Linked DNA regions of Drosophila melanogaster. The protein of the gene in region 3 purifies or fractionates together with the protein of the main gene of each other region. This does not show direct contact. Each region holds a gene or a part of one and is shown on either strand. Other genes may lie near its edges.

Evidence for each region.
Region 1: the proteins of Taf6 (region 3) and Taf1 purify together in Drosophila melanogaster (affinity purification with western blotting; 3 studies listed by BioGRID, with this or other methods). This does not show direct contact.
Region 2: the proteins of Taf6 (region 3) and Taf4 purify together in Drosophila melanogaster (affinity purification with western blotting; 2 studies listed by BioGRID, with this or other methods). This does not show direct contact.
Region 4: the proteins of Taf6 (region 3) and Tbp purify together in Drosophila melanogaster (affinity purification with western blotting; 5 studies listed by BioGRID, with this or other methods). This does not show direct contact.

The regions. Positions count from the first base shown.
Region 1 is NT_033777.3:6,645,048-6,650,642, forward strand, and holds the start of Taf1 (TBP-associated factor 1), read left to right. Parts: upstream 1-1,841; 5' UTR 1,842-1,942; coding exon 1,943-2,124; intron 2,125-2,246; coding exon 2,247-2,554; intron 2,555-2,617; coding exon 2,618-2,881; intron 2,882-2,935; coding exon 2,936-3,147; intron 3,148-3,212; coding exon 3,213-3,838; intron 3,839-3,897; coding exon 3,898-4,278; intron 4,279-4,333; coding exon 4,334-5,048; intron 5,049-5,105; coding exon 5,106-5,378; intron 5,379-5,451; coding exon 5,452-5,595. UniProt on the Drosophila melanogaster protein: TFIID is a multimeric protein complex that plays a central role in mediating promoter responses to various activators and repressors. Largest component and core scaffold of the complex.
Region 2 is NT_037436.4:16,111,238-16,116,965, reverse strand, and holds the start of Taf4 (TBP-associated factor 4), read right to left. Parts: upstream 3,755-5,728; 5' UTR 3,601-3,754; intron 3,177-3,600; exon of another isoform or gene 3,082-3,176; 5' UTR 2,825-3,081; intron 2,659-2,824; exon of another isoform or gene 2,655-2,658; 5' UTR 2,495-2,654; coding exon 2,123-2,494; intron 1,298-2,122; coding exon 1,136-1,297; intron 935-1,135; coding exon 347-934; intron 1-346. Other genes in the region: Zn72D (Zinc-finger protein at 72D), read left to right, coding at 5,097-5,728. UniProt on the Drosophila melanogaster protein: TFIID is a multimeric protein complex that plays a central role in mediating promoter responses to various activators and repressors.
Region 3 is NT_037436.4:19,597,433-19,602,636, reverse strand, and holds Taf6 (TBP-associated factor 6), read right to left. Parts: upstream 3,550-5,204; 5' UTR 3,478-3,549; coding exon 2,593-3,477; intron 2,531-2,592; coding exon 2,361-2,530; intron 2,304-2,360; coding exon 1,848-2,303; intron 1,728-1,847; coding exon 1,418-1,727; 3' UTR 1,255-1,417; downstream 1-1,254. Other genes in the region: CG9368 (uncharacterized protein), read right to left, coding at 577-595, 661-864; ash1 (absent, small, or homeotic discs 1), read left to right, coding at 4,401-4,481, 4,544-5,204. UniProt on the Drosophila melanogaster protein: TFIID is a multimeric protein complex that plays a central role in mediating promoter responses to various activators and repressors.
Region 4 is NT_033778.4:21,685,188-21,689,439, reverse strand, and holds Tbp (TATA binding protein), read left to right. Parts: upstream 1-1,797; 5' UTR 1,798-1,987; coding exon 1,988-2,770; intron 2,771-2,834; coding exon 2,835-3,113; 3' UTR 3,114-3,248; downstream 3,249-4,252. Other genes in the region: CG10307 (uncharacterized protein), read right to left, coding at 1-156, 218-397; BaraC (baramicin C), read left to right, coding at 930-981, 1,050-1,336; eIF3k (eukaryotic translation initiation factor 3 subunit k), read right to left, coding at 3,330-3,927, 3,994-4,064. UniProt on the Drosophila melanogaster protein: General transcription factor that functions at the core of the DNA-binding multiprotein factor TFIID.

The DNA.
Region 1 (5,595 bases), on a different chromosome or scaffold from region 3:
GGCAAGCTAAGTTTACATACCCTCTCAAGTAAAAACATCTCATGTAATTTTACAATATTGTCCGTATGAACGTGTGACCCTCCATGTCCCCCCATGCCCCGCCATGTCCGACCGTGTCCCAATGACGGGACTTGGCTTGGTGCGGGCTGACACGAATCTCGATCTATATGTGGATATTAGTAAACACATGTATGGAATGTCATGGAGTTCTCCTGATAATCGTGTTGGTGACAGGTAACAGCAGTGCGTTATACAGCGAAACAAGAACTATAGATTTCTTTAAGCATGGAGATGGCATATCCAGAGCCATTCCATTAAATATTCCCCCTCTAGGTAGACCTTTCTAAAAGCTATCGCAGGCAGTAACCCTCTAGTCCTCGTCCTACACAAAAACTCGAATATCAAGTGCGACATTCTGAGGGATTGTACTGAAAAACACAAGATTCACTTTGCTTTTCGCAGCCACTTTCTCATCTTAATGATCATATTCTTTCTGCAACAGCGTAAATACTTGCCACCCATCTCCAAGCTTCAAAGTGGCTTAAGTCCTGATCACGGTCGGTATACGTAAATATACGTATATTTATTTTTATTATATCATTCATTCAGCGTGGATAATTAAGTTTCGAAAATTTAATTTGAGGCATTTTATAATGAAGGGAAATTCCAAAAAGACGAAACACAAAAAAATATTCGATTTTTACTAGTCTACCTTTAAATTTTCCCACTTTGTGGTTTTCCATATCTGGGAACAGAAGCCTTGGTAAAGGTAAGTTATAAAACATATAATTAATTTGAGGTACAATGAAGTCGGTCACGGAAAGAGATTAGCAAAAAAATGTACACAATGGCATTGGTTTGTGTCCTAGAGAAATGCTGCCTTGAATTAAAATGATTCTTTAGAGTTTAAGCCATGAAAACGAATTTTCAGCCGGTTTAATCATCAGAAATACATTTTATAACGAAAATCTATTGAAAAACCATAGATTCATTTGATGTAAAAGTTTCAGGATCGGATTCTTGAAGGTGACTAAATTTGTGAGCTCAGCGTACTCTTCCTTTAATCCGTTCAAATAGTTCAAAGCCTGCATATAAAAATCCTACATTCCCATGCAGTTCTTTGGTACAAATATGACAATTTGTGACAGTACAAATCCCAAAGTTGTGGATAGTCTCTTCGAGATTATCATTAAAACGATTCTCAGCTAGAGAAAGCGCAGTTGGTAAAATCGTTTGAGTAAAACCAAGTTAAGAAGAGACTTCTGAAAATAAACATATATATATTTATAATAAAAAATGAATAATAAGAAATATATAAAAATTGATGGTTTAAGTTTTTGCTATCTGAAGTAGTTATGATTGTTTGCTACAGATTTCTGTAAAATCTGAACAACAATAGAGAAATATAGCTCCTTCAACGTTACAAAACCGTAACACAAATGTAGGTCTGAGAACTGTAATTCTAAATTGGCATTGTAGTGCTTATGTATGCCCATTTTTTCTCCAATGAGCGTTGAATAAACTATTTTTGGCTGAATAAAGTTATATTTTGATAGAAGCTGAACAAAAGTGATCGTGTTAATGGTGTTTACAGAAGTTCTATTCAGAAATATATAATTATACAAATGAAATGTACGAATATCAAAGGAATATATATTTTTTAATAAAAATCCACGTATGCCATACATGGTACAAAATTGCCAATTAAAAATATTACAGAGCCCTTTTTGTTGGACACTAACCTTCGGTACAAAACGCAATTGACCTTCCCAAGCTCCCAACCCTTGTCCAAATCTAATCGCGGATTTTCTGGTGCCAGTGGGGAGCCATGAGGCATCTTTGCTTTGTCCATCGACGGTCACACTTACGCGTGTGAAAAATGCAATTACACTCCGTCGAAGAAAATATACTTTAGCCGCGTAAACATTGCAAGCCCATAGAAATGGAGATGGAATCTGACAACAGCGACGATGAGGGATCGATCGGCAATGGATTGGACTTGACCGGCATTCTTTTCGGCAACATCGACTCCGAGGGCAGACTGCTGCAAGATGACGACGGAGAGGGGCGCGGGGGCACCGGTTTCGATGCGGAGCTCCGGGAAAACATTGGTTCCCTTTCCAAGTGAGTACACATGCTTGTACATACATATGTAAACCCGGTATCATTCAAATATATCTTAATTCACAAGATATAAGACACTTTTAATTACATTTCCATTCATATTGCGTATGGATTACTTTCAGATTGGGTCTGGATTCTATGCTGCTCGAGGTTATCGATCTCAAGGAAGCCGAGCCTCCGTCGGATGACGAGGAAGAGGAGGACGCCAGACCGTCAGCCGTCAGTGCCAGCGAAGGAATGAGTGCCTTTGATGCGCTCAAAGCGGGCGTTAAAAGGGAGGATGGCGCCGTAAAGGCTCAGGACGATGCCATTGACTACTCTGACATCACCGAGTTATCCGAGGACTGCCCACGCACTCCGCCCGAAGAAACAAGCACTTATGATGACTTAGAAGACGCCATTCCCGCCTCCAAGGTAGAGGCCAAGTTGAGTAAGTAAGACCGTAATCTACAACGGTTTGATGACATTTAATTTAACCAGTTAACACTGGTAGGAGAGGATATTGCTCAAATTTTTAAAGGTCTATGCAATTCCTGTCAAAGTGACACGATTACTTTTGCACCGCTCAGGTTGGGTTCAGACCTATTGCTATACAGAGAGAATAACTCACATTTTGTTGCAGCTAAGGACGACAAGGAACTAATGCCTCCACCAAGTGCACCAATGCGCTCCGGCTCTGGCGGCGGCATCGAGGAACCGGCCAAGTCAAATGATGCATCTAGTCCCAGTGACGATTCCAAATCTACCGATTCAAAGGGTAAAAATTATTTGAAAACAATAGAATTTTTTTGTCAATGGTCATTCCTTTAAGATGCGGATCGGAAGCTGGACACACCACTGGCAGACATACTGCCGTCCAAGTACCAGAATGTGGATGTGCGTGAGCTCTTTCCGGACTTTCGTCCCCAAAAGGTGCTACGCTTCTCCCGTCTCTTCGGACCCGGTAAACCCACGAGTTTGCCCCAGATCTGGCGACACGTGCGCAAACGCCGCCGCAAGCGAAATCAATCCAGGGATCAGAAGGTAGAAGATCAGAGTACTTTTAAACGGGACGGGATCACCAGGAAACTTTTCGTAAACCATTTCAGACGACAAACACTGGTGGTTCGGACTCTCCAAGCGATACTGAGGAGCCACGAAAGCGGGGCTTCAGTCTGCACTATGCTGCAGAGCCAACGCCAGCGGAGTGCATGTCCGACGACGAGGACAAATTGCTGGGCGACTTCAACAGCGAGGATGTGCGTCCAGAAGGACCGGACAACGGCGAGAACAGCGATCAGAAGCCAAAGGTGGCTGACTGGCGGTTCGGGCCTGCACAGATTTGGTATGATATGCTAGAGGTGCCCGACTCTGGAGAGGGGTTCAACTATGGCTTCAAGACAAAGGCAGCAAGCACCTCGTCTCAGCCGCAACTCAAAGATGAACGCCGTGTAAAGAGTCCAGAAGATGATGTCGAAGATCCAAGCATTGCGGATGATGCCTTTCTCATGGTCTCCCAGCTGCATTGGGAAGACGACGTGGTCTGGGACGGTAACGACATCAAGGCAAAGGTGCTCCAAAAGCTTAACTCAAAGACAAATGCAGCCGGATGGTTGCCCTCGAGCGGGTCGAGAACGGCTGGCGCCTTTAGCCAGCCGGGCAAACCGTCTATGCCCGTGGGAAGTGGAAGCTCCAAGCAGGGTTCGGGAGCATCAAGCAAAAAGGCCCAGCAAAAGTAATTAATTGAAAGTTGAATTCATACGTATTTTACACTAATATTTCAATCGATTTTAGTGCTCAAGCAAAGCCAGCGGAGGCACCTGATGACACCTGGTATAGCCTTTTTCCAGTTGAAAATGAGGAGCTAATATACTACAAGTGGGAGGACGAGGTAATCTGGGATGCCCAGCAAGTGAGCAAGGTGCCCAAGCCGAAGGTACTCACTTTGGATCCCAACGACGAAAACATCATTTTGGGTATTCCTGATGACATAGATCCCTCTAAAATCAATAAGAGCACGGGTCCTCCACCTAAGATCAAGATACCGCATCCTCACGTAAAAAAGTCTAAGATCCTACTTGGCAAGGCGGGTGTGATCAACGTGCTTGCGGAGGACACACCTCCGCCGCCACCCAAAAGTCCTGACCGTGACCCCTTTAACATATCCAATGACACGTAAGTCTCTTAATATAATAATGGATGCAGAATGCAGATTTTAATTCCCTTTCAGTTACTACACACCGAAGACAGAACCCACCCTACGACTTAAGGTGGGCGGTAATCTTATTCAACACTCGACTCCGGTGGTAGAGCTGCGAGCTCCGTTTGTGCCTACGCACATGGGCCCGATGAAGCTCCGCGCCTTCCATCGCCCCCCCCTAAAGAAGTACTCCCACGGGCCAATGGCCCAGTCTATCCCTCATCCTGTCTTCCCACTGCTGAAGACCATCGCAAAGAAGGCGAAGCAGCGCGAAGTGGAGCGCATTGCCTCCGGTGGCGGAGACGTCTTCTTTATGCGCAACCCAGAGGATTTAAGCGGAAGGGACGGAGACATCGTACTAGCCGAGTTCTGCGAAGAGCATCCGCCTCTGATAAACCAGGTGGGCATGTGCTCCAAGATAAAGAACTACTACAAGCGTAAGGCTGAGAAGGACAGTGGGCCGCAGGATTTTGTTTATGGAGAAGTGGCCTTTGCGCACACAAGTCCCTTCCTGGGCATCCTGCATCCTGGCCAGTGCATACAGGCGATTGAGAACAACATGTACCGAGCGCCTATTTATCCACATAAGATGGCTCACAACGATTTCCTCGTCATTCGCACGCGGAACAACTACTGGATACGGTCGGTGAATTCAATATACACCGTGGGTCAGGAGTGTCCGCTGTACGAGGTACCCGGTCCGAATTCCAAAAGGGCCAACAACTTCACCCGTGACTTTCTGCAGGCAAGTCCAAAGATCTAATCTGTCTTTCAATTGCTAACAATTTGTTTGTTTGGTCAGGTGTTTATTTACCGCCTGTTCTGGAAAAGTCGCGACAACCCGCGCCGCATTCGAATGGACGATATAAAACAGGCTTTTCCCGCTCATTCCGAGAGCAGCATCCGCAAGCGTTTAAAGCAGTGCGCTGACTTCAAGCGAACAGGCATGGACTCCAATTGGTGGGTTATAAAGCCAGAGTTTCGCCTTCCATCCGAGGAGGAGATCCGAGCCATGGTGTCACCTGAGCAGTGTTGCGCGTACTTCAGCATGATAGCGGCGGAACAACGCTTAAAGGTATGTGTTTGCGAAGTCTTGTTTAATCTTACTTGTTCTGCTGAGCTCTATATTTTATTTTTTCTGGTTTCAGGATGCTGGGTATGGAGAAAAGTTTTTGTTCGCACCTCAGGAAGATGACGACGAGGAGGCGCAGCTGAAGCTTGACGACGAAGTAAAGGTGGCTCCTTGGAACACGACTCGCGCATATATCCAAGCCATGCGGGGAAAGTGTTTA
Region 2 (5,728 bases), 3.5 Mb from region 3:
CCGATAGCCAGGCCTCTAGCATGATGTTTGGTCTGGAACAGCAACTCGTGTACAGCGCATTTAACTAAATCAAATCGAAATAAGGAGTATCGAAAATACAGACAGTTACACAACGCAGCATGCAGTACATTTACAGTATATTATATATGCCATCATATTCTTGATAAATCAAAATGAAGTGTTCGATTGTGACGAACCAAAACGGAACTGAAGCGTAGGCATAGTTATATATAAGTTATATAAATAAGAAGATCAAATCCAAGTGCATAACAGACAAAGGAGAACAGAGGAGAGAAGAGCAAAAAATATGTTCGAATAGGAGTATATCCTGCTGGCTTCTCTTTACGTTTTGCTTGATCTTTATGGTGGCTGCCACATTGGCGGCAGCTGCTGCAGCAGCAGCGGCAGCGGATGCCTGTTGCTGTTTCTGTTGCTGCTGGGCCTTCAGATGTTGCTGCTGTTGGAGCTTCTGCTGCTGCTGTTGCTGGTTAGTAGCGGGTTTGTTGTTGTTGTTGGTAGTGGTGGTGGTGGTGGTGTTGGTGGTGGCATTGATACTATTATTGTTATTATTGCTGGATGGGACTGTGGATGATGTACGGACAATCGTTTTGCGCAGTGCAATACTAGTGCTGGCGGTTGTGCTGGTTGCATGTTGCTGCTGTTGCGATTGTTGCTGCTGTTGCGATTGCTGCTGATGTTGTTGTTGTTGTTGGTATCTACTTACAGCTGCAGCCGGCACAGTTTGCAGACGGATCTGTGTGGTTGTGGGATGGTTTGTGGTGCTTGTCGTGTTGCTGTTATTGCTGGTGTTGGTTATAGTCTGTGTCACCGTCGGCGGACCCGTCGTCGTGCCCACGCGCAACAGCTGGAATCCGTTATCCGTCTTGACCAGCAATGCCGGGGTCTGACCCGTATTAAGTGTGCTTAAAGTTATCTAAAAGTAGAGAGAGAAGACAGAGAGACTCGGTTTTCATCTGCTGGAGCATGGTGTGTATGGTGTATGGTGTGAGTGAATGGTGGGCTGTGCACATGCGTGTTTGTGAGGAGCGTGGCTGGGTTAGGGAGCTCTGTGAGTTAGTAGGGAAGAACCCACCACAACAACCATAGTAATAGCAATATTATCCTTCATACTCACCGATGGACTCTGCGGTCTCACGCCCGCCATGTGGGAGTTGATCACCACGCGACTGAGCGGGTTGGTGGGCACATTCTTCTGCTGCTGCTGTGACGGCGCCTGTTGGCGCATGCCCACCACCACGCCAGCCGGCAGCATTGAATTGAGCAGCGGTTGACCGGCCTGGCAAATACGCAACATTATCATTAGTCTATCAATTCATCTCATCACATTTTCAAAGTCTATTTGGACCAAAGGATGCATTAAGAGGTTTTGCGGGATTCTAAATTAGCCTACATCATGCAGCAGTTGGCTCGGCAAAGGACCCCAATTAGTGCGGAAATAAGTTGTTTAACTGATTCTCTCTGTGCTAACCAAATTTGAAGGCGTATAATCTACTATATCTTGTTCTATTTAAAGCGAGCATTGAAAGCAATAGTTCTACAAATGTAATGGTTTGGATATTGGTGTAGAATAAGGTTTCTGTTGAACAAGTGCGTGTTTTTGAACAGTTGTTAGGGATTTGATCTTTGGGAAACTTTTCGGCATTGGGATAAAGTATTTCAAATTAAAGATATGTCTTTTATGGTGATTAAACTGCTTTAAGTTCTAATGAAGTGAATTGATATGACATTCGTAAAAAAAGAAATTAATTTTAAATAAAAGTACAAAAATGAGTGCAACAAACTCAGATATAAGTTTCAGATTTCAACTCAGATATAAGTTTCAGATTTCACATTAATGAATTAAGGATATTTTTTAAGCGTAAAATACGTTATCAAGCCTGGGACTAACCCCATTTGGATAAGGATATGGGAATTTCGGGCAGCGAGGTAGACAGATGAAAGCATAATAAAAGTATACAACCAAAGTGTGTGCGGCCACTACTATCCGATTCGAGCGAGGAATTGAGGGGGTTTTGATTGGGGATCAGATTTGGACGAAGTGATACGCCCGAGTTGCGATCGCCTAGCGCCCGAAGAGTGGGTTTAGCTTTAATATGGATACCTGATTGATGGTCTTGGTCATGGTTACGATTCCTGCTGGTGCACTTGAGACTAGACCCGCCGGCAGGGTGACAGCATGGTGGTTGGATTTAATAACTAGGGTTTGTGTTTGGGTGGCACCTACGGATTGCGTCTGCTGTTGCTGCTGTTGTTGCTGTTGCGACTGCTGCTGCTGTTGGACATGATGCACCTGCTGAAGTCCCTGATGCTGACCACCGATCCCCGCCTGGATCGTCTTGATGGTGGTGGTATTCGGTAGCTGGGCCGTGGAGATGACCGCGCCGGGATTGCCGGCTATGCTGATGGTGCCATTGGGCAGCGGCTGGCTGGTGAAGGTGATGCGATTGCCGGCAGCTGTCTGGCTGGTGTTCATCGTGCTGTGTGGTGTTTATGTTATTGGCGAGTGTGTTTCTCCTATTCCACTGACTTCTGTGTGTTGGTGTGGGCGAGCGATCCTGTTCCGATCAACTAGTTGCGCACATCCTGTGTTGGTGTTGGCGGAGTTGTTGCATGCTGTGCGCTCCAGAAGCGAACTGCAATGCAAGGGGAGGCGCTTTTAGTATTTATACAAGATTCGGCTCGAGGCGGTGGAGAAACAGGTAGGCGGTGGAGGTGCTACCTGACCGCCGGCTACCTGGCGGCCGTGCGCCATAAACCAGATGCTGCGTACACCTGGATGCCGCGCACAGGTAATCGCATTCACCTTGGCCAAAAAAGCGGGTGCTCCGCTGAATTGGTGCTGCGCTGGCTCACTCGCACTCGCCTTTGCCGTCACTGTCGTCGGCCTTTCTCCTGGCGCATCCGTTGCAGTCGTTGTCGCGTGTGTGTTATCTCGCTAATTCGCTGCCTTTTGTTTGCGCCGCTAAGCCTTTCTACACTTTTCCCGATCGGCGGGTTTTCCTGCGCACACACACACTCGCGCGTGCTCGCACGGACTGATTGTTGAGCACTGGAAGAATGCTTTATTTTGATTATTTTGATGTACAAAAAATTTGGCAGCGACGGTGCCAGAACGCCGCCATTTTCACGAATGCGCGTGCAAAGCGAAAATCGAGGCTGGTGGACGTTGCCAGATAGCGTGCGAAAAACACGTAACCAACGATCTGGCAATGCCGCTCGTTTATGCGGGTGGCGAGTGCGCAATATTCGTGAATGCACTAAATTTAAAAAAAAGTTCAACTCGAAAGTGGAGCACTTAATAATTGATGATTTCTATTAGGAAAAATTCATATTTTTCGAAAATCCGCATAAAAATATTTAAAACAAAAAGAAAACAAATGCATCTTGTACATGTCTCCAGTGGCAATATGGAGCATCGTGCCAGCCGTAGTATTAGTAATTTCTACTTTAGTGGCCAGCGGGTGGTGGCATAAACCCACGTCCGTGTCTGTGCGACTGTGTGCGTGTGTTTCAGTATAGGTTTTGTACAGCCTGCAATGTCGGGGGAAATTTTCTGGGCCCTGTGGCAGATGCACTCACTTCAATTCATTTTGCGTTCAAACTCGGTGCACTGGGGCGCATTTTAAACGATTTCCCGTTGCGTTTCTCTGGCGATTTAGCCGAAAACCGAGTAAATATTGTTTACGGACCGCCGAGGTACGGACGAGTTGTGCAGTGTGACCGTTGGCGACAATATCGTCGTGTTAAACGCGATACCGAATTAAAATACTAGAAAAGAAGTAGTGACTTGGATATCATGTCGATTTTTTATAGCCTTGTTGCGTACATTTTCAAAACCAAAAACGTTTGCTGGCATTTTGATGCCATCGGATTTTAGCCGCATACCAAATTAATTATATGCTCATTAGTTTTTATATGGGTAATAAGCCACAATTTTTAAGGATCAAAATAATTTATTTTAATACATTCGAATACGATACATTTTAAATCCTTTGAACTATTATTAGAGTACTGTTTAAAGCTGAATGTTAGGTAATTGAATAAATGAAGAATACGCTCAAAAATTAGAAACTACTAAAACTATTATTAGAGTACTGTTTAAAGCTGAATGTTAGGTAATTACAGAATTGAAGAAAATGCTCAAAAATGTTATTATTTTTTTATATTTAAACGCTATTTGCTCATATACTTAAATCATATATATATTCAAACGAAGGAGTAGTACTTTGTAACGGTCAAACAATCGATAGTTCCACTTTGATACCGAACTACATGCCCCACCACCAACGTGATGGTATTTTTGTTAGTTTTCGGTATCTTTGAAATGCTAAACTTCAGCACAACGGGCAAAATAATTCTGTAGAGCGAGTTAAATACATATCGTACAAATAGCGGTCTTAATAAAATAGACCATACCAATTTTAATATTAAACAAATTCCGTTAAATAAGCAACATATATAGTGTAATGGTATATTTTCCAAAAACTTCCAAAAATAAAAAGTGGTATTTGTTTCAAGTCGGGCTCAACATAGTATGATTATCCGATTACGCTGCGGTCACACTAGTACCGGCCCATAGAGACGGAAGAAAAATTTTATTTAACCGATTTCAGGTAATTGCCATTTGCATTAACTGTTTTTTAACCATGCACAACTAGGGCTAAAATGCCGTTGGAAAAGAGATCGCCACGTGTGCTCACTCGCATGTGGGCCAGACACGCGAAAAGTGCGTCCAAAGCTGCGGGGTAAAAATCGATAGAGAAAAGCAGATGAAAAACGGATGGGAAAGTGGTGGGGGGAGCTCCTTTCTCAACATGACGTGACTAAGACCACTTTGCTTTTACAGCTATAAACAGGCTATTACTCGGAAAGCACATATAAATTCCCGAATAAATCCGCATTCGAAGTCCCATAAATATTGACAGTCAGTCGGATAGGACAGCTAATGTAAGTAGAGCACTTGGTGGGGATGGGGGCAGGTCCAAAATGCAAATGCAAATGCCAATGGTAAACTAGTAAACCGCAGACAGATTGTCAAACAAATTCGATTTTCGTAATTGCAGCGCACCGCGACAATGGCCAACAACAACTACGCCGGGTTTAACTACGGCGGCACCCAGTACAATACGGGCCAAGTCTCGTACCCGGCGGTAACCAATGCCACCTACGCGAATGCGGCCGCCTATCAGAATGCCGCTGTGGCCGCCGGACAGGGTGGTTATGGCGGAGCAGCAGGAGCGGGCGCTGGCGCCACCTCTGGCCCTGGGGCGGGGGGTTATGGTGGCTACGGCGACTATCGAAGTGCCATGCAATACGACGCCACCAAGACATTCTATCAGCAGTCGCCGGCCAGCTACAACGCCTCCGGTTCGACAGCCTCGGTCAGCAAGACGCACTACTCGGCTCCGCCAGTCAAGAATCAGGTCAAGGGCAAGATGGACAAGTCGAACGGTGGTCCCAAGCCCCCTAGTTCGGCTCCTCCGGCGGGCAACAATTACAGTGGCTATGATACAGCACTCTACAATGCGGCAAGCATGTATGTGGCCCAACAGCATCAGGGCAATCCAAACCAAAAACCAAATGGCGGCGCCAATAACTGGTATCAGCGTAAGATGGGAGCCACCATACCAGGAGCAACGGCCATAAGGGGTATGCGTCCGAAGGCACCTCCACGTCCCCAGCAGCTGCACTACTGCGAAGTGTGCAA
Region 3 (5,204 bases):
GAGGCGCAGAGAGTACAAAAATACGGAAATAAAGATCAGTGATACGCAAAATACAAGTTAAGTGCAACAAAATATGGTCATGCAATCGAGCTGGCTGGGTTTTTTGGAAAATGGGTGAAAATGGCGTGCGAATGCGTTTATATATTCTAAATTATATGCTTTCCTCAGTTTTAATTGCCATCTGTTAACAACCGTGGAGGAGGCCCACAACGGTCGCCCTGTCATCAGTTAGTTAGGTCAGCCCACTTTTATCAAACAAGTTACAACATTACGCGACAGTTCTCTTAATTTCAGCACGAAGATTATACTTTCCTAAATATTTGCAATATTTGAGATTTAGACCTCATCCACCAACTTTTAGCCTAGGCACTCTTAGGTGTCAAGCGAGTTCATTGCCACGAAAGTCATCGATACAAAAATACTTAAGCAAGACTAAGAAAAGGATTTGTGCACAAGTGTCTATTCAGCGGCCAGCACTTGGCAAGGGTTTGCGCTGAAGTGCTCGAAAGGGAAAAGCAATACACTATCCAAATAGCTAAGAAGTGAAATGTACTGAACCACACTGCGTATACTTACTCGGTCGTTTTTCCTTGCCCTGCAAGGGAAGTTACAAGTTAGTTCAGTTAGCTCGAAAACGAATATTAGATATGTGTGGTCAACCTGTTGCGATTTCTGGCTCTCAACTGCCCGCCTGTTCGCCTCCGTCTCAGCCCGCAGGAGCACATCGTCGAGCGCCTCCCGCAACGCGGCCATGTTCTGGGGATTTTGCTTGAAGGCCTCAATCCGCGCCTCCAGTGACTCCGTTTCGATTCCATCAACGCTGTCCGGAGACGCTGGCTCGGGATCCGCAAATCTGGCATGCATCTTTCCTGGGTTTTTGTGAGAATTCCTTTTTATCCTTTGAAAATGCTGCCAGAAGCGTTTCGAGCTTTGCCTTTGTCCTGCGATGGGTATCTACAAGGAGTGCTGAGCAGAGCTCTTTGTGCGTTCACCCAGCAATGCGCTGGAGAAATCAATAGCAAGCCACTTGGGGGCCCATACCCGCACATGCGTGCTGACTGCGTGGGCAAGCTTTCGATTTGTGGGGTGGGAGAGCAGTCAGTTGATTTCAACAGTTCGTTATTTACAGAACTGTAGCTTAATATTTCTATGGGAAATCCTTAAATAATGTTTTTTTTTTTGCTTGCTAAGAAGAACTAAATCCATTTTACACAAAACGTGTGAAAATAATGATTTAATATTCTTCCTATTTGTGTGGTTACATTTTTTTGGGGTAGGAACCCGCATTTTTTATTTTATTGCATACAATATGACAAAATGTGGACTACGAACTAAGCTGGCTACTCCAGGTGCGAGAGATCGTCCAGCTCGGGCGGTGCGCGCACAATCTCCGTCTCAATGATCAGCGAGTTGGCGTCTAGGATGCTCTGAAAGATTGAACTGTTATACCATCAACTGCTGGCGCTTCGCTACCGGCAATAACACACACATTATCGCTGCTCCGCTGTGCAGCCGCTAGTAGACTGCCGCTCGAGCTTGAGTTCGAATTGGAGGCACTGGCAGCGTTGGAGGCCGCGGAGAGGACCACGCTGTGCGGAGAGCTGCCACGCCGCACCACCTTCGCCTGGCCCTGCTGCGGCGAGTTCTGGGTGACTATCACAAACTTTTGCGCCGGCTGGTTGGCCTGAATGGCTCTTATTTGCGGCAGGGACGAGACTCCGGGACTTCTAAAACAAAAGAATATTTAACCGCTTAGTAATGGGCATAAAAAGACATGTCAACATGGTTTCCATTAGGAATCAAATGCTTGGCTGGAATTTTATTTTATGCTTAAAAGTGTTATTTACCCCTGTCTCTGTGTGGTGGGCATGGACACTCGTCCGATGGTTGTTGCTGTTTGTGCTGCACTCGTGATGGGTGCCGTGTTGATAGTGTTGGATGACAGGGTTACAATGCTTGAGGCGGGCGCATTTCGAACTTTGACTACTGCCTGGCACAGCGACGGCCCCAGGAAGCCAAAGTCGTTCTTGTAGTCCTCCGCTGTATCTGGCGCTGAGCGCATTTGCCTGAGAATCGGGGGACAGCACTTCTGAAGCATGGCGCGGATGTGACCTGCTGCTGTCTTGTCAGTGTTGCTGATGGAGGTGCCGAGCAGGTGAGGTTCAATGCGCTCCGATATGAACTTAAGGCGGGGTATGATGAAAACCTTTATGACTTCGCCCCCCAGCTCCGAGAGACCCGCAATAGAGCCGTAAAGCGAGGACAGGTGGGTCTTGTCGTTCTGCAGGGCCTTGCTGAAGATGCTGAAGGTTGGGAAATGGATGTTAAAAGGTTATTTAATTTAAGTGGATGTGATTTACCGGGTGACACGGGTTTGCAGATTGTTGGTTAGGGTATTGAAGTTCTTGCAGATTTGAGCCATCAGTCGGGAGGCAAAGTCTCGCAGGGCCCAGTGATTGTCCAGCTCGGGGCGCATACACAGCTGTTTGGACACAATGCACGTCATCACCGAGGGTATCAGTTCGTGGAGCTATGCGGAGACAACATCGTTTTTATGAGAAACAAAGAACAATACAATAAGAAATTTCTTACGTATTTCTCCAGAAACAGCGAAGGATTATCCAGAAGCGCACGAACCATGCGCATGAGGTAAATAAGCAACGCCAAGTTGTTCTGAACCACATTGACCTTAACTCCCTCGGCAATGAAGGTGCACATGCGGGGAAGCATTTCGTGCAGGCCAGGATCGGATCCCAGCGACTGCAGCGCTTCCCCGCGCCGCGGCTCATCAGATCCCACGCACGCCTCGGTGATCTCCTTGTAGTACAACTGCTGCTCCACGGACAACTCGTGCGTGGCCAGTTGCTTGACATGAATGGTCTCCACGTTTTTCAGCTTGTGTATCTTGCCGGTGGTGGGTTTGCCTGCCGCATCTTTGTTTAGGCCTTGATCCATCTTAATAACTGGATTGACCGAGTCCAGTAACTGGGAATCCTTCGAGAGCGGAGGGGGGTTTTCGGGCACAGTGGGTTGCACTCCCTCCACAACAAACCAATGGGAGCGCAGGGTGAGATCCAGGGGAATTTTTACAGAGTTGGTGGATGTGATTTCTCCTAGGTCGATTTCCTTGTCCTCGGTGAAGTGCAGCTCCCGTCCTCCGCCAGATGCGAAGCGGAATGGAATGAAGTCCTTGGCTACGAAACCGTACTGCGGCTCCACATTTCGCACCTTAAGGGACATGTCGATGTCCCGCACTGAGAGCTTCTGCCGCTTGGCGTGGTTCATGAACTTGGCCGCATCCTGTACAATCCTCTTCAGCTTGATGGACACATCCTCCGCTAGTTCCTTGGCGGCGTCATCCGACAGGGAGCCCACTCCGATGCTCTCCGCGATCACCTTCATGGACTCCGCCGAGATGCTGGAGCCGTACAGCATGCTGCTGGAGGGGCTGCTCGGTTTCGACGGTTTTCCACTCATTTCCCAGGTTTTTACAAATAAACAAATAATAATCGCCGAGCTGCTCGGCCAGTGTGCACACACCCAAAAGAGAAAATCTAGCTATTCTGGCTTTTTTGTTGTTTCATATCGTCTGCTATAATTAGTTTTATGGTCACCTAAAATTTTGCTATTTGCGAGTTCATGTAAGGAATATATTCCCATAACAAATATTTAGTTACAATAGTAAAAAAAATATAAGAATTCATTTTTAATTCATAAAAAATGTCATATTAATATTACTGGTTTCACATTGTTATACAATAATCGGCTTGTTTTTTTCCAGCTATTTTTGAATAGAATCCACTATTGTTCGCGATAGTTGCCTGCTAAATTCCGCCGCAAGGTCACACTGTCGCGTAGACATCACGTACACCCCAGCTGGGCACACTGAAACGCAGTCTTTTTCTTTATTTATGTTCGTAAATTTTTGGTTGCCTGGCTTTTTGTTGTTGCGCCACATTAACAATAACAATTGATGCGCCCCGCCACCGCCCACTAGTCGCGAAAAAAGTGAATTATCGGTACCGCGGATTAATGTGCCACATGCGAGAAGCGTTGCAACGTTGCGCCGTCGTCGGGCGTCGAACAAAGCAGTTTTTGGGAAAGTGAAAACGGCGCCATTTTAGAAGCAGGCAAGCCACGGCCTAAGGCTCAAGAAAAGTGCAAATGCAATGTGTGCAGCAATAGATTGTCATTTCGGCACAAACGAAACCGACTACTGAGGTCTACTACTAGCCCAGAAAACAATCAAGCGTAAGTGTGCTGTAGGTAATGGTTTTTTTTTTGGACGATGTCACCGCGGTTTGACCTACTTTAAAGGCGATTAAGAGTGCCACCAAATCGAATTAAAAACACTTGGCTAACAAAAGCGAACCTTTGCAGCTCCCCAGCGACTCCAAAATATGAGCTGTAGCCAAAATGAGACGGCAGCAGCAAAGGTTCTGGAAACGCAACGCGCACAAGAATCCGGCAGTGAAAATGAGGCAAGTCTTTAAAATGGCACCCTTTATGCAATGCTATATGTAAAGTGTGTTGTTCTCCTCAGGAAACCGATTCCATTACGGATCAATCGAGCCAGTCGAAGTCGATCAAGTCAGCCACCCAGTTTAGCGTGCAGCGTTCGGACACCGATGGACTGCGAATGAGAATCTCGGCCATCCGCCCCACGTTAGGAGTCGTAGCAACCAAGAAACCCCCAAAGTCCAGAAAAATGTCTACCCAGGACACCGAGTCCGGCTGCTCGGAGGCCAAAAATAGAGCGGTCAGCAAGAAAGTGAAGGTCAAGCGCAAGAAGCTGGCAAGTTCCAGTGGGATTAGTAAATCGGACAAAGTGTCTAAGTCTAAGAAGTCACAGATCTCGGCATTTTCCTCGGACTCAGAGGACGATCTGCCCTTGAAGGTGCATCAGCAGAGAGCTCCGCGAGTGCTGCTAAGTGCTATCATCCAGGCGGCACAGTCGGCCAGCAAACCCACCCTCGATATCGGAATCTCGTCCAGCGACAACGAGTTACCTAACCTGGTGCAGGCGGCTATCAAGCGAGTGGAGAGCGATACGGAGGACACAACTGTGGAAGGAAGTTTCCGCAAAGCGGCCAAGGACAAGAACCTACCCCAGTACCAGTCAACTTTGCTGCAAGACTTCATGGAGAAGACTCAGATGCTGGGGCAGACCGTCAATGCGAAGCTTGCGGAGGAGAAAGTGGCTA
Region 4 (4,252 bases), on a different chromosome or scaffold from region 3:
TCCCAGTTCGGGTGGCAAACTACTAATGTTATTGCAGCTGATGTTGAGAAACTTCAGCCGGACCAAACGACAGATGCAGAGCGGGAATTCGTCCAGTTTATTGTAGTCCAACGTGAGGACCTGAAGTCGCATCAAACTACCAATGGAGGATGGAATCTGTGAGTCAAGGGATTGTGAGTCTATTATTTCATTGGCTATCTTGTGCACCAGGTGCCACCTTTGTTAGCTTGTTTTGGTTGAGGAACAGCTTCATCAGCGTCTCGCACTTCTCTATGATGCCCGGAACGTCGGAGATTTGGTAGTGGGACAGATTCAGGGAGAATGCCTTTTTGTATATGGCATCCTCGCAATTGGCCAGCACGTAGTTGTTGCGGAAAAACTGACAAACCTTCTCCATGTCGCCCTTATTAAGTGTTTACTTCTGCAGCACTTGAATTTGGTTGTCTTGGGTTCCAAACTATTTCACACTCTTTGGAAAACCTACTCTGTTTTTGGCGCTAGTAGCTTAGTTTTCAGGCCTTGTCTTTTGTAGTTTCGAACTGTCGCCCGATTTGCGCGTTTTTTCGTTTGTTTTGAGTGCATGTTATATAACGATTCTCGGAGTCTATATATGCACAAAAATCTCTATTTGCTGCACTCTCTTTTGCCTGCCTTCTCTTCCCAAGCTGATGAACTAAAATTAAAAATTTCATTTCCTGGGTAAAGGCATGCGCAAAATGCTAGATATTGGCAATAGGGTAGTTCTATTTTAAAATTGGTACATTGTCGCTTGTAATGTTTGTCGCACAAGGAAAGCTCAACATTTGACATTACCCATTCTCAGCTGCTAATTGGCAAAAAGCTCGTCTTTCTATCGGTTTATATAAATAGATTGTAAATTACCGAGCCGCTCTCAGTTGAAATTGAGCTCAGTGACTGGAAACTGCATCATGAGATCGTGTACTTTACTTGTTTTCATAGTGAGCACGCTGTTGTTTGCCGGTAAGTCAAGTGTGGGAACCACTAGAACCGCCACATCCATTCAACACTCTCTCTCTATTTTTCTCCAGTGACAAATGCGCAGCAGAATTATGATGGAAGAAATGGTCCCCATGAGTTCGGCACACCTGGAAACGGCATTTACATACGGGGTCAGAACGAAGGACCCTACACAGTGCCCGAAATGGGAGGAACGTTCCAAAACTCACCCTCAAGTGGGCAGCATTCCTACACCGATGAGCACGGAAATACTTACACCCATTCCTCAACGGCAACTGTCACAAGTTTGGCCTATTCAACCTTCGGTTTCAGCATGGGCGGCGTTCTCATTTTTCTAATTAGTTTAATAACCATTTAATTGCACTTTCCAAGTGCAAAAGTTCCAATTAATTAATTTTTAACACATCGTTTTTCAGTTCACGCCCACGAAAATCTATTGCTGAAACTGCATAGATGAGAATAACCATTTTCCTTCTAAGTATTATGCACTATTATTTATTCGCTATTTCTTTTGTTCACCTTATACACAAATTATTTAGCTATTAAACAGAAGTACAACAAAGTATACTTGATTCTTTTGAAAAGTGCGCCATTTTAGTTATCGATTGGCAACAACGTAAGGGAGAGATTTAACGTATAAGAAATATTTGAAACGTTGAAGTGTGATTTTTAACTAAACATTAAAATACAATCAAAGATAATTATTGTTATAATTATTTTCATACATATTTTCAATGAAATACTTAAATGCTAAGAACGTAACGATAAACGTAAGACCCAGCCAGCTATCGATAGTTGCGGCAAAATGCAGCGCTGACTTTGCCATTCTCACAAAACGAGCCACAGGTACAACGACGAACGCGGTTGCATTACATTATTATTATTATTACTATTAAATTAATTTCCCGCTCTGTGGGTATGCAATTAAAACCCAAAGTTGAGCCCGTTCAGCAATCTTGAATTGAGTCACTGAAAAATTCACCGGAGTCCACAATAAACCATCTGTAAGATGGACCAAATGCTAAGCCCCAACTTCTCGATTCCGAGCATCGGAACGCCGCTCCACCAGATGGAAGCGGACCAGCAGATAGTGGCCAATCCTGTGTACCATCCTCCGGCTGTATCGCAGCCGGATTCGTTGATGCCGGCACCCGGTTCCAGTTCCGTGCAGCACCAGCAGCAGCAACAGCAGTCGGACGCCAGTGGGGGATCAGGTCTCTTTGGCCACGAACCATCGCTCCCGCTGGCGCACAAACAAATGCAGAGTTACCAGCCATCGGCCTCCTATCAGCAGCAGCAGCAGCAACAGCAGCTCCAGAGTCAGGCGCCCGGCGGCGGTGGGAGCACTCCGCAGTCCATGATGCAGCCGCAGACGCCGCAGAGCATGATGGCCCACATGATGCCCATGAGTGAGCGGAGTGTGGGCGGTTCGGGGGCCGGAGGTGGCGGAGATGCCCTGAGCAACATCCACCAGACGATGGGCCCCTCCACGCCGATGACACCAGCCACACCAGGTTCCGCTGATCCCGGTATTGTGCCACAACTTCAGAACATCGTGTCCACGGTTAATCTGTGCTGCAAACTGGACCTCAAGAAAATAGCATTGCATGCGAGAAACGCCGAGTACAATCCTAAGCGATTTGCGGCTGTGATTATGCGAATCCGAGAGCCCCGGACCACCGCCCTTATTTTCAGCTCCGGCAAGATGGTGTGCACAGGGGCAAAGAGTGAGGACGACTCCAGACTGGCAGCGAGAAAGTATGCGCGCATCATCCAAAAGCTCGGTTTCCCTGTAAGACAAGACTTTACATTTCCTTTCTCTTCCCGGCGAATCTCTAACGCTTTCTCTCCCGCAGGCAAAGTTCCTCGACTTTAAGATTCAAAACATGGTCGGCTCCTGCGATGTCAAGTTCCCCATACGCTTGGAAGGCCTGGTGCTGACCCATTGCAACTTCAGCAGCTACGAGCCTGAGCTATTTCCCGGCTTAATCTATCGTATGGTGCGACCTCGAATCGTGCTCCTCATCTTCGTGTCCGGAAAGGTGGTGCTCACTGGAGCAAAGGTGCGGCAGGAGATCTACGATGCCTTCGACAAGATATTCCCCATTTTAAAGAAGTTCAAGAAGCAGTCATAAATAGGATAGCGCTTTATTAGTTCTGTACGTGTACGTTTTAAGGTCGGTAGTTCTGGAAGTCTGATCATATGAGTGGGAGCAGCCTGGCGAGCAGCTCCGATCGAGAATAAACCACAAAGTAATTTAGCTGTACGGACAGGCTTTTATTATTATTTTTTTTCCGTTAATTACTATTCGTAAAAATTTAGACAAGGACTATGAACGCGAATGAGGTTCCTACAGGCACTGGGCCATCAGGGCGCCCACGTTGTCGAACTCGATCTTCTCCGTAATGTTCTTCGTCTTGATTTTGTCGTCCTGCATGGCCACGATGACGAGTCCCTGGCCCTGGTTCTTCCAGCCATTGCGCTTGATCCAGCTCTCCAGCGTCGAGTCCTCGATGCCGCCGAGCAGCTCCTTAAGCAGGTCCTTGCGAATTGTCTGGAATGTGGTGCCCACCACATGCGAGACGAACTTGCGAATTGAATCGTGGAAGCCGGTGATGTGGCGGAACATGTTGCGGTTCACCTCGGCCCGCTGCCAGAAGAGGGTGAAGTCCGCCCGCTCCAGTATGTCGGCGAGGTCGATGATTGTCTGCACATTCTCGTCCTTCATCTGCTGGGGCAGCAGCAGGCACTTGGCCATCACGAAATCCGTGTGCGGCAGGCTGGTCAGTGACTTCAGCAGAATGGTGTACGTGATGTCGAAGTTCAGCATGTGCGGGTTGAACTGGTACAGTTTCAGCACGGCCAGGTTGGCCTCCAGGTCGTAGGTGTTGTTCTTAGCCTGATCCTGCACATAGGACTCCAGTGTTTTCAGATGATCTGGGTTGTAGCTGCGGCAAAAGCGAGGTTATGTTTTTACTAAGCATCATAACTGAGTGAATTTGTGCAGTTCTTACCGCTCGATGCAGCCCAGCATCTCCTGGATGGTCTGGCTCTGGCCGTTTTCCATTTTCACGAGGTGCGACATTTTCTACGGCTAATTTGTATGAAATTCGCAAGTTGACGTCGTGTTTTTTATTTTAATAAAGAAAGATTCGGTGTGACCGCAGTGCTGAACTCGCATTTGCCGATGCAAACAAACGGAATGCGGTCACATTGTGTGGGAATCTGCAAGGGGTATTCCTGAATTCCATTTCAAAATTCCCGTTACGCGAA